Linked DNA regions of Drosophila melanogaster. The protein of the gene in region 1 purifies or fractionates together with the protein of each later gene. This does not show direct contact. Each region holds a gene or a part of one and is shown in the gene's direction. Other genes may lie near its edges.

The links.
Region 2: the proteins of EMC1 (region 1) and EMC2B purify together in Drosophila melanogaster (affinity purification with mass spectrometry, with the first as the bait; one large-scale study listed by BioGRID). This does not show direct contact.

Annotation. Positions count from the first base shown.
Region 1 is NT_033777.3:7,902,224-7,908,956, reverse strand, and holds EMC1 (ER membrane protein complex subunit 1), read left to right. Parts: upstream 1-1,593; 5' UTR 1,594-1,734; coding exon 1,735-1,829; intron 1,830-1,896; coding exon 1,897-2,539; intron 2,540-2,629; coding exon 2,630-2,776; intron 2,777-2,859; coding exon 2,860-3,172; intron 3,173-3,245; coding exon 3,246-3,266; intron 3,267-3,571; coding exon 3,572-3,906; intron 3,907-3,960; coding exon 3,961-4,155; intron 4,156-4,215; coding exon 4,216-4,293; intron 4,294-4,351; coding exon 4,352-4,553; intron 4,554-4,612; coding exon 4,613-4,765; intron 4,766-4,832; coding exon 4,833-5,003; intron 5,004-5,067; coding exon 5,068-5,301; intron 5,302-5,363; coding exon 5,364-5,524; 3' UTR 5,525-5,927; downstream 5,928-6,733. Other genes in the region: Taf7 (TBP-associated factor 7), read right to left, coding at 1-1,073, 1,138-1,332; mRpS9 (mitochondrial ribosomal protein S9), read left to right, coding at 6,325-6,420, 6,503-6,718.
Region 2 is NT_033777.3:16,989,635-16,993,530, reverse strand, and holds EMC2B (ER membrane protein complex subunit 2B), read left to right. Parts: upstream 1-1,652; 5' UTR 1,653-1,763; coding exon 1,764-1,797; intron 1,798-1,938; coding exon 1,939-2,347; intron 2,348-2,473; coding exon 2,474-2,630; intron 2,631-2,692; coding exon 2,693-2,941; 3' UTR 2,942-3,197; downstream 3,198-3,896. Other genes in the region: CG31274 (uncharacterized protein), read right to left, coding at 1-296, 351-394; MESK4 (misexpression suppressor of KSR 4), read right to left, coding at 3,646-3,896.

The DNA of each region.
Region 1 (6,733 bases):
GTCAGTTGATTGATCTTCTGCTGGACCTGTTGCTGCGTGTACTGCGGCTGCGGTTCGTCTATGAATTCCATGTTCTCGAACTCCTCGCGCTTGGCTAGCATTTGGCTATCGTAGAAGCCACTGGGAGCAGCAAGGTTGGAGCTTGATCCGGCGGCGCTGAGCTTAGGACTGCTGGCTTCATGCCCAAACATAGACTTGCTGAACACGTTCTGCTCCATTTTCACTACGCCCGCTCCAGTATTACTGCCACTAGCGCCAAAGAAGTCCGACATTCGTGAATCATCAGCCGAGAGTCGTGAGGATTCCTCCATCACCCGCCGCTGCATGGTGTTATTGCCCCGATCGGGCTCATCCTCGTCATCCGTGCTGGACACTTCCTCGCCGAAGATGTCGTGGACAGCAACTCCCATGTTCGGCGCCCGGTGTGAGGGAAAGTTGCTGGCTTCGTCATCATCGGACTCCACTTGGAGGTGCCGCTGGGAGCTCATTTCCATGATCGTCTTTTCGCTGGCATGCATGGTGCTTTCGTCCTGCAAATCGTCATCCGCATCGTTGTAGGGTTTGATGTCCGATTGCTCCAGTTCATCCATTGGCTTGTCCTCTTCGTTTATGATTTCATAGTCAACTCTGACAGCCTCGTTGTCAATGCGCAGCAGATGTTTCACTTCCTTCTCAATCTCGGGAGCTTCGACATTCTTTTTCTTCAGAGTTTTGCGGAATCGTCGTTTTCTCACATTCTTGCACGGCGGTGTGATGCCGTGCGGAAAGAGGTATTTTTTGTCCACCTTGTTGGGGTCCTTCTTTTTGTTCTTGTTGGGCGACTCCTTTTCCGTCTCGTCCTCCCGCTCCTCCTTGCAAATGAGTATTTGGCAGATGTCTGCCGACTTGTAGAAGCTCTTGTTGTCAATGGTCTTGTAGCTCTCGACGACGGTGGGCAAATCCACGAGTTTCGTGTACAGTATCTGATCATCTATTCGCACTTCACCGTACCTCAGATCCGGATCCAGTTGGATGGTCAGCCGGTCCTTAATGGTGCCAGCATTTATTGCCTCATGGACCGTGTCCGCCAGTTCCTGCGGAGAATCCGTCAATTTGCACGGCTTGTTGTGATGTTTGTTTGTGCTATGTATGGCTTACCTTCGGCACGCGCATGATAAACTGGCTCTCCAGCTCTACGCCATCATCCCGGGCCTTGTGCTCCGCTTGCTTAACCTTGTCGCTCTTCTTTTCAAACATTTCAATGCGATTTTTCCAGAAAAATACAACTTCTTTTGAAGACACTAAATGCTCATTAGAGATGGGAGTTAGATGGGGCACCGCTAGTGATGGCATTCACGTCACAGTTATCGCTGCGAGCACGACGAATATTTAAAATGGTTCACACTGCAGCCGCATCTGCAGAAATATAAGCCCTGTATACCGCAAAATGGCAAGGCATTTTATTTTTTAATCTTTTTACCAACAAATTTAATCATAAAGGTGAAGACCGAATGGGTTTGCCGTACGTTGAAAGGGGATGAGCCGCACTGCTTTGAATATCGGATGTGAGTCCGCTGAACTATCGATAAGGCAATCGTCAGCCAACCCTGCTCCAATTTCGTCTTCTCATCCCTTTTGCCATGACGGAAAACACGAATTGATGTGGATTTCTACTAATTTATAACATAAAAATACGTCAAAAGTTGAACAATCAGAGATCGAGCTAGTCGAAGGTCAGCAAGCAAGGCGGACGACATGCAGGAGAAGTGGTTACTGCCCGCACTTTCGCTGGCGCTCCTATTGGGCACCTGCTCGGCGCTCTACGAAGACCAGATCAAAAAGTTCGACTGGTGAGTGTGGTACGATATCTGACCATTGACCCGGCGCTAATACGGCGGATATGTGCGGCTTTTGCAGGCGAGGCGTCAATGTGGGAGCACTGAAGCAGTCTCGCGTCGACCTCAACCATTTTCAGCCGCGGATTCTGGTCACCACCTATGAGGGAGTGGTGGCCAGTCTGTGCGTAAAGACCGGCGAATTGGTGTGGCGGCAGGTGCTCGAGCAGAAGCCGCGCGGCGACGTCAAGCTGCTCCAGGTGAGCGGATTCGCCGATGACAGCAGCGACACGGCCGCCGCTCCGATGGGCAGCAACATGGGCTTCGACATGCTCACCGTTCAGGGACACGCTCCTGCTTTGGTGCGCGGCTGGAACACCAATATGGGTGCCCTTGAGTGGGAGTGGTCCATCATGCCCATGAACACGGAGCGGGCCCAGGACGCCATGTGGATCTACAGCAAATCCGTGCTATATCACGTGCTGCCTGCCTGGCGGAGCCACCTCGAGGTGACGGCGTATTTCGCCAGCTCGGGCCACAGCACTGGCAGCACCAGCAAGGTAATAGCTCCTTGGATCACCTCAGAGAGCTGCACCCTTAGCGGCACCTTCTACGTTTGTACGGACGGAAAGCAGTTGATTAGTTTGGATCTCGTTTCCAAAAGCGGTCAAGTAATCCGTACTTCGCTCGAGGCGGAGCCGAAGGGAAAAACTCAGGCCTTGACGGTGAGGAAAAAACTTTGCTATTGCTTTTATTGAAAGTGAAGTAATAGATTGTTGTAAGTGAAGTTATAATTCGTCCAAACATTTCTATAGGGTCTGAATGGTGTTGTGATTGTGGATGGGAAGCCAATTAGTGTCAACAAGGACCAATCGATCTGCGGTGATCTGCGAAGCTCCAGCTTCGCCGTGGGCAGCTTTAACTATCGCAAAGTCTTGGCCTATGCAGATCTGTCCTCTGGAGTACGTTTAAACTTATATTTACTGTTCTATTCTACTATTTCTATGTGAAAACTAATTGTTTCTTTCCCTGTGCGTATGAACAGATCCTCAGGATCAATGCTCTGTATTTGGATAACTGTGCACCGGCAGCGGAGTTGGAGCAGAGTCTGCCATTCCCCGAGCATTTTGGCACTCCGTCGCTGAGCAACTTCGACTGTAAGCAGAAGCGCAATGGCGAGGGCAAGAACTGTCTGTTTTTGTTTAGCAGCACCTCGGAGTCCATCGTGGCAGTGCAGCATGGACGCGTTCGTTGGTCGCGCGAGGAGTCGCTGGCAAATGTGATCGACTCGCAGTTTGTGGATCTACCGCTTGCCGATACTGAGGGCACATTGGAGAACGAGATGAAGGGCAAGGCCGGTGAGTGTACTTGACTTATGCACTACTTTAAGGTGAACTCATAAAATTTATTATTGAAAATTCATACCAAAAGGGGATTTCACAAGTTTTGAGAGTAAGTGAACGTTCACAGCAAACTAATCATGCAATATTGTTTGTTACATGTTTATCACTTTTAATTTTGTGTTTTTTTTTTTAATGTTTATTGAACGTACCACTAATCTAAAAACGAATGTTTACTAACAAATTCAAGCATGCTTCGCTAGTTTAAAGCTAAGTGTATTACTTTTACTTTTTTACTGTCCAATAATTAATTTCCAATGTAAACTAAAATATGAAATATCTTTGGTATATCGTTAATGTTTAAAGATCATATTAAATTGTTCTTTACTAATATTTATGTTTTCACCACGTAAACAGGAGACATTGCCAGTGCCTTTTTGCGTCGCATCACCACTCAAGCTGTTCAGATTCGGAGCTTGTTCCTTCATGTTATCGGACTGGGTCCTCCACCTACAGACACCCAGCGAGCCGGCTTGGTCAGAGACTCCTTTGGCCTCCACAAGATGCTGGTTTTACTGACGCGTGCTGGAAAGATTTTTGGCATTGACAATGTCTCTGGGAAACATCACTGGCAGCTGCATCTTCCCAATGTTATTGGATTCGCTAACGACGAACAGATGCGTCTGATTGTCCAGCGCTCGGCCAAACACTTTCCACTTCAGCCGTTGTGCACTATTTTGGGCAAGAATGCTGTAGGTCTGACTGACAAATCGCATAGTTCCCACGCTAATTCTAATCGTTTATAGGTCAGCGGCAATGGTGTGCTCTATCGTTTTAATCCTATTACCGGCAAAGTAGCCGAAGGTGGCCTTGTTCAGCTGGACTACAGAATTAAGCAGCTTTCGTTGCTGGGAGAAACGGAAAAGGACTTTCTGAAGGGCATTCTGTTACTGGATGCTTCGAATAAGGTACATGTTTATCCCGAACATGCGGCCCCACTGGTAAGATATAAAATTCTATGATATATCAATAGAGTTGAAAATCTTTACATGCACGTACAGGCTGATGGCATGTATCTGTACACCGCCGATTTGAAAACTGCAGAGCTGGCCGGCTACTTTGTTAAATATGCGGGCGGGGTAAGTAATGCAGCCTTTTAATATGAAAGCACTTAACTTATTAAACCATTTCCGTTAGCAACTGTCCAGCACGCACATCTGGAATGCTCGCCTGGGCGGCCACAATTCCGAGCAGCAGATTATCGGCGTTGCCGGCAAGAATCCCATCGAGCATGTCCACTCCCAGGGACGTGTGCTGGGCGATCGATCGGTGCTGTACAAGTACATCAACCCTAATCTAGTGGCTTTCGTCACACAGGCACCGGATTCCACACACAAATGTGAGTCTGCATGCGCTTCGTGTAATTAAGCATTCATTTAAATGGCACTTACTCCATAGCCGTGCTAAATTTGTATCTGGTTGATGTGGTCTCCGGCTCTGTGGTTTTCACCATGACGCATCGTAAGGTCCGTGCACCACTGAGCATTGTCCACTCCGAAAACTGGCTTGCCTACTCCTACTTCAACGAGAAATTGCGTCGCACAGAGATTAGTAAGTTACAACAGCGATAGCCATTGACAAGTACCTATATTTACTAAACTTTATTTACTTGCTACAGCCACAATCGAACTGTACGAGGGCAAGAGTCAGGCAAACAGCAGTGTTTGGAGTTCCTTGCAAGCTCCGCCAATGCCCCTCGTGGAGCGCCAGTCTTATATACTGCCCACAATAGTTGAGGCTCTGCGGGAAACTATCACGGAGCGCGGAATCACCAACAAGCATGTGCTTAGTGAGCATTAACGAAAGTAATTTGAACGCCAAATAGGATGCTAACCATTTGTCATTAATTCTAGTCGGCACTGCCAGTGGTTCCATTGTGGAAATGCCGTGGCATTTGCTGGATCCCCGACGTCCTATCGCATCCACGACTCAGGGACGTGAAGAAGGAGCCATCCCCTACATACCCGAGCTGCCTTTGCCAACAGAGAGCCACATAAATTACAACCAGACGGTTGCCCGTCTGCGTAATATTTACACCGCGCCCAGTGGCTTGGAGAGTACCTGTCTAGTCGTTGCTACGGGCTTAGGTAAGGGAGATTTATCAAACGCGATTTTGGTTAAAGCACTGTAAACCATTTTTATTTGACAGATTTGTTCGTTACGCGCGTGGCGCCATCAAAGACGTTCGACTTGCTGAAGGAGGACTTTGATTATATTCTCATTTCCATAGTGCTAGTCGCGCTCACATCAGGCTCGTTGATTGTTAAGCATTTAGCGTCGCGTAAATTGCTCAAGCAGGCGTGGAAATAGGCTTGGCATTATTATTAAATAATTGCTTTAAATATATATAAATTGTACTGCGACCAAATACCACAAGGGAGGATGGAATGATGATGAGAGAATGTAAATCGGCGAGATACTATTGATATATATAACAGAATTCTGATAGCTGCATTACATCCCACAATGCGAATAAAACCTTTTATCAACGCTAAGCCTAGGCAATTATTTATAACTAATTATATAGCGTTAAACATCAAATAACTATAATTAGCTGTTGAAAGGTTTTCATTGCATGTTCTGTTCCTTTGATTTGTGTTCGTTTAAATTTCCATTTGAAAATATCAGCATTGAAAGAGTGTTTAAAAAGTATAGTCAATAAAAGCATTTGTAAAGGTGGACAACGGTAAAGTAAATAAACAATTTTTTCATCAGAATTAACTGATTGTTGGGATTAATTAGGAGGTGGATTCAAAAAATTTTTGATAATTAAAACAAAAAATATAAATAATAAAAATACAATTAAATCAAAAATTCATAGCGTCTATTACCTGATTTATTTAGGACAATTTTTTTTAGAATTTCCTGTAAAGTATAAAAGGAATTATTATTATAATACTTATCTCAAAAATGAAGTAATTTTCACCGTCTTATAACATTGTAAGAAAGTTGTGGTTTTATAGCTTAATAAATTAAAAATACAAATAAAAAAATTTTTAAATGGGCGCCAAAAATCAGCTGAAAGCTTGTGTGTTTTCCAACACCGACCATCCAACTTTAACCGACTGAAACATATGTTTATTCTCTTCTTCTTCCGCAAAATTGAAAGGATGGCACTGCGTGTTTTTGGCTTAAATATAGTAAAAAATAACAGGAATCTGCTGCAAAATGCATGCAAATCCAGGGCACCGATGCCATGCTACATGGTTGGTACAATAGTCAAGTCAATAGACTTGACACTTTTCACTGTTCCCAATTGTGAGACCAAACGTTTGCATAACCTTTCAGGCAGCGGCTCCATTTGCCACCGATGTGACCGTCCAGGCTGCTCCGGCGGCTGTCCAGAAGCAAAGGGTGAGCAAGGCCATGCGGGCGTACCTGAAAAGAGCCACCGAACACGACGAGTTCATGAAGACCCAGCACCTGGAGTTCCAGATCGGAAAGCGGCACCTGGCCAACATGATGGGCGCCGATGCGGAGACGTTTACCCAGGAGGACATAGACGTGAGATATTTGGCT
Region 2 (3,896 bases), 9.1 Mb from region 1:
GAAACTTGGTCTGCGCTGCGAATTTGTCGGCCAGTCGCCGCGGAATTGTCTTCAGGTTCTCATAGGCCAGCGAAATGCGTCCGTTGTCCTCTAGGATGCTTTCCGAAAATGATACATCTTCACTTGGACAACTGCTGATGGAAATGTTGCCACTAAAGGAATACGGATTCGGCGTAATCATCTTCCCCACGTTGTCTTCGGTCAGCAAAACGTCGTTATATTCGTAGTTCAAGCTCTCCAGCGACTGAATGTTGGCACAATTCCTGAGGACCTCCGTTAGGCAGGGATTCAACGGGCTGGAAGCGGGATATTTTGGTCATTACATGGATTTTTGAATGCCTATCTACTACCTGTCTTCGGAGTTGGAGCGTTCAGAGGTCGATGTTCCAGACATAACGGCGTAGATCTACATAACTGGCAGCAGCTCCTATTCTTGGTGTTTTCCAATCGGGATCGGGACTCCGTCGGATGGTATTTATTTTGGTCCAACGTCTGTGGTAGACTGAGGGAAAAATGACACTTGACTCTCGCTCCGCGCAGATTATCTGGATCTTCCGCTCCCCAAGCAAACACATACCCATATCTGTGAGTGTATTGAAACAATTGTCATCTCGGTGGTCACAATCACCCAACGCACTCAAAGTACACTCGAAAAAAGCTCTGTTGGAAATGTAAACATGTAGTGAATCTTTTCTGCCACAATTCCTCCTTATTTTGAGATAAGTTTATAAATAAACGTTTTTTTTTCTCTGTAAAATTACTCGTTCAGATTAGTAAGTGTAAATGCACAAGTCGAGAACAACAAAGTAAGGTATGAGGAAGAAATCTCTATTGTTTTTCCTTTGTTGATGCTGATACTCTTCCACGGAATTATCTACGGAGATGGTGTGTTAGTTTTGCTGAACGCTTGGTATACTATTTAGTTATTGGTTTACCGAACTACTTATCCAGTTAGGAGTACGTTTGGTAAGAGGGTTTAAGGTGTTCTTTCTTATCTCTTTTATCAAACTCAGGAACTTTGTATTACCTTACGTGGCTGGGAACAATTGGACCATGTTAATGCGCTGCAAATAATTAATAAGAGCTCCTTGTAATATAAATCACATTTATTTACTTGTTTGTTCATATAGAGCTAAGTTGATCGATTGTGTCGTATGCCGAGTGCACTCAGAAACGGAAGGGAAACGTGAAAATATGTTGATTATGTGACTATACATATATACTAACATAAGTAAGCCATATGACTTCCTTAATTATCCAATAGGAATCTAAATTTATAATGTTTTCCGGTTGATCTTTTGAATTGGACTTTAAGATATTTGAATGGCAGAACGCAAAGGGTACTCTGCAAAAATGTTATTACTTGTACCCATCTTGTACCCATATCTGGCATACCACAAGGGAAACACCTAGGTTCGCTCCTTTTTACCGTATTCATTAATGACCTAGTTATTATAGTTATATCACCTTCTCGTTTACTTATGTATGCAGATGAGAGGAAAGGATATATATACATCATTGGATCGGAAACGCTTTCTTTTACAAACTAGTCAACAAATCCTGCATACTGTGTAACTGTAGAGTAGAGTCTTACGATATTCAAAAAGTAGGTTGGCAGCGCCACGCCACTGTTATTTGGTATAATCTAACGGCCCATTATGCTGCCACACTTTTATTTTGCCAGGAAAGGAAATCGGCAGTTAAAGATTACAATTGGAAAATTAAGTTAAATTAATGAGATATTTAAGTGCGCCTAAGTGAATATGTCGCTAGATTATGAGAAGATGAGCTGGTCGGGTGAGTTTTTGGCTTTTCCCGGCTTCAAACAGGTGCAGACCACGTCAGTGGGTTGCTCCCAATCGCCCGGTTTCCGTGGACCCAAAAAACGGGGCCATGAATGAAAAGTGCGGTATCATAATCGTATGATCATCCTTCCAGATGTACGCGATCAGTTCAGAACATGGCGCGAGGAGACGGGTCGCCACAGCGAGGAGGTGGTCCAGCTGTGGGTTGCTGTGCTGGAGGACAAGGTGCACAAGACCGGCAACGAGCGGCATCTCATCCTGGAGCAGGTGATCATCGCGGCATTGGATACGGCTCGCTTTGACATCGCCACCAAGTGTACCAAGCAGCTGGCCCTCGAGTTCCCGGGCAGCCTGCGCGTGATGAAGTTCAAAGCGATGCGCTACGAGGCCCTGGAGCAGTACGATGAGGCCGACGAGGTCCTGGATGCAATCATTGCTAAGGACGAGACAAATGCCGCGCCCAGGAAGCGCAAGATTGCCATCCTTAAGGCCCGTGGTCGTCGCCTGGAGGCCATCAAGGAGCTCAACGAGTATCTGAAGAAGTAAGAAAGCTAAGTTCATGGTGTTTTTGGAAGAACGGAACCAAATTAGTTTCCGGCATCCGGTTGCTAGACAACTACTTATCTTACCATGTACGATAATCTCATAACTATTTAATATTCCTTCAGGTTTATGTCTGACCAGGAGGCATGGCATGAGCTGTGCAACATGTATCTGGCTGAAGGCGAGTTTGGCAAAGCTGCCTTCTGCATGGAGGAGGTTTTGCTGCACAATCCGCATAGCCATCTAATACACCAGCGTTTGGCAGAAATACGATACACAATGGTGAGCTATATAAGCCCACTAACCAGTAATGAAGTCCATCTTATGAATTAATTTTCTTTCAGGGTGGCGTCGAGAATATGGAATCGGCTCGCACTTACTATTCGCAGGCCCTGAAGCTTAATCCGCATAACTTGAGGGCCCTTTATGGCATTTACTTGTGCTGCAACCATTTGGACAACTCTCGAGCCGTGAGCTCCAAACGGAAGGAGCTGCAAAAGTTGAGTCAGTGGGCCCTCGAACAACTTTTGACTAAACAAACGATTGTACCCTTGGAGGCTGCTTTTGGAAACCTGGAAATCAAATCGAATTGACCAACATAAGCACTACAAATTTGTGCAATAGATGCCAGAATGTAATGGTTCCAAATATTTTCAGATGTGGGTTTCCAGTTTCTGTTCTTTAAGCAAGTTACATAGATAAACAATTAAAGAAATAGGAGTAAAAACAATTTTATAGTCAGTGCATCCAAGCAACTGTTTTTGGTGGTCTAGTATTGTTGACGGCATTGAAAAACATTTATTATTGAGGTAGGCAAAAATAGTCCTGTAATAAATTTAGATTAAACGCAATGAACTGGTTACTTTGAATCATAATTTTAATCTTTGGCCTCAAGTTTTAAGCAATATTAACTCGTGCCCATGTGCTTACATCCGTAAAATTAATCGGGCACTGAACGACATTCAGAATAAGTCGAAGAACATTTATTCTGAAGATGGTGCCTATTGTATACTTGACTATTCGCTGAGGTCATTGACTCTTATTATTGTAAAAATTGCTTTAATGCACTAGATTAATTCTCACTAGGTTTGTGCGTGTCCATCGTCATACAATTGCAAATTTATATACGTACATGGCAATAACCATATGCATATTTACTTGCATAGCACTGTAGGTGCAATCGACGACTGCAGGGCAGCGAGGGCAGCGCTGATAATCCAGCGGACGGTTAAAAATAGTCCAACAATGGGACAGAATGCAATCAGTGGAATACCCCTCCCTCCTTCGGCATATTACTTCAGTTTGTGGAGGAGCCGTTGCCAAACATCCGTCCGCTGTGCGATTTTCTGGAATACTTTGGACGGATGATGTCCTTGAAAGTGAATGCGGATGCGAGTGGAGGCTTTTCCGAATTGCTCGTGGAGTCCGGACCCTGTCCTTGTGAGGAAGACAGCGTCGCATAAGCTGCATTCCTGCTGGTTGGAAGTCCATCGAGATATTTTAGCTGGGGAAGCACCTGTAGTATATACTCGCGGGGTCCTTGGCCCC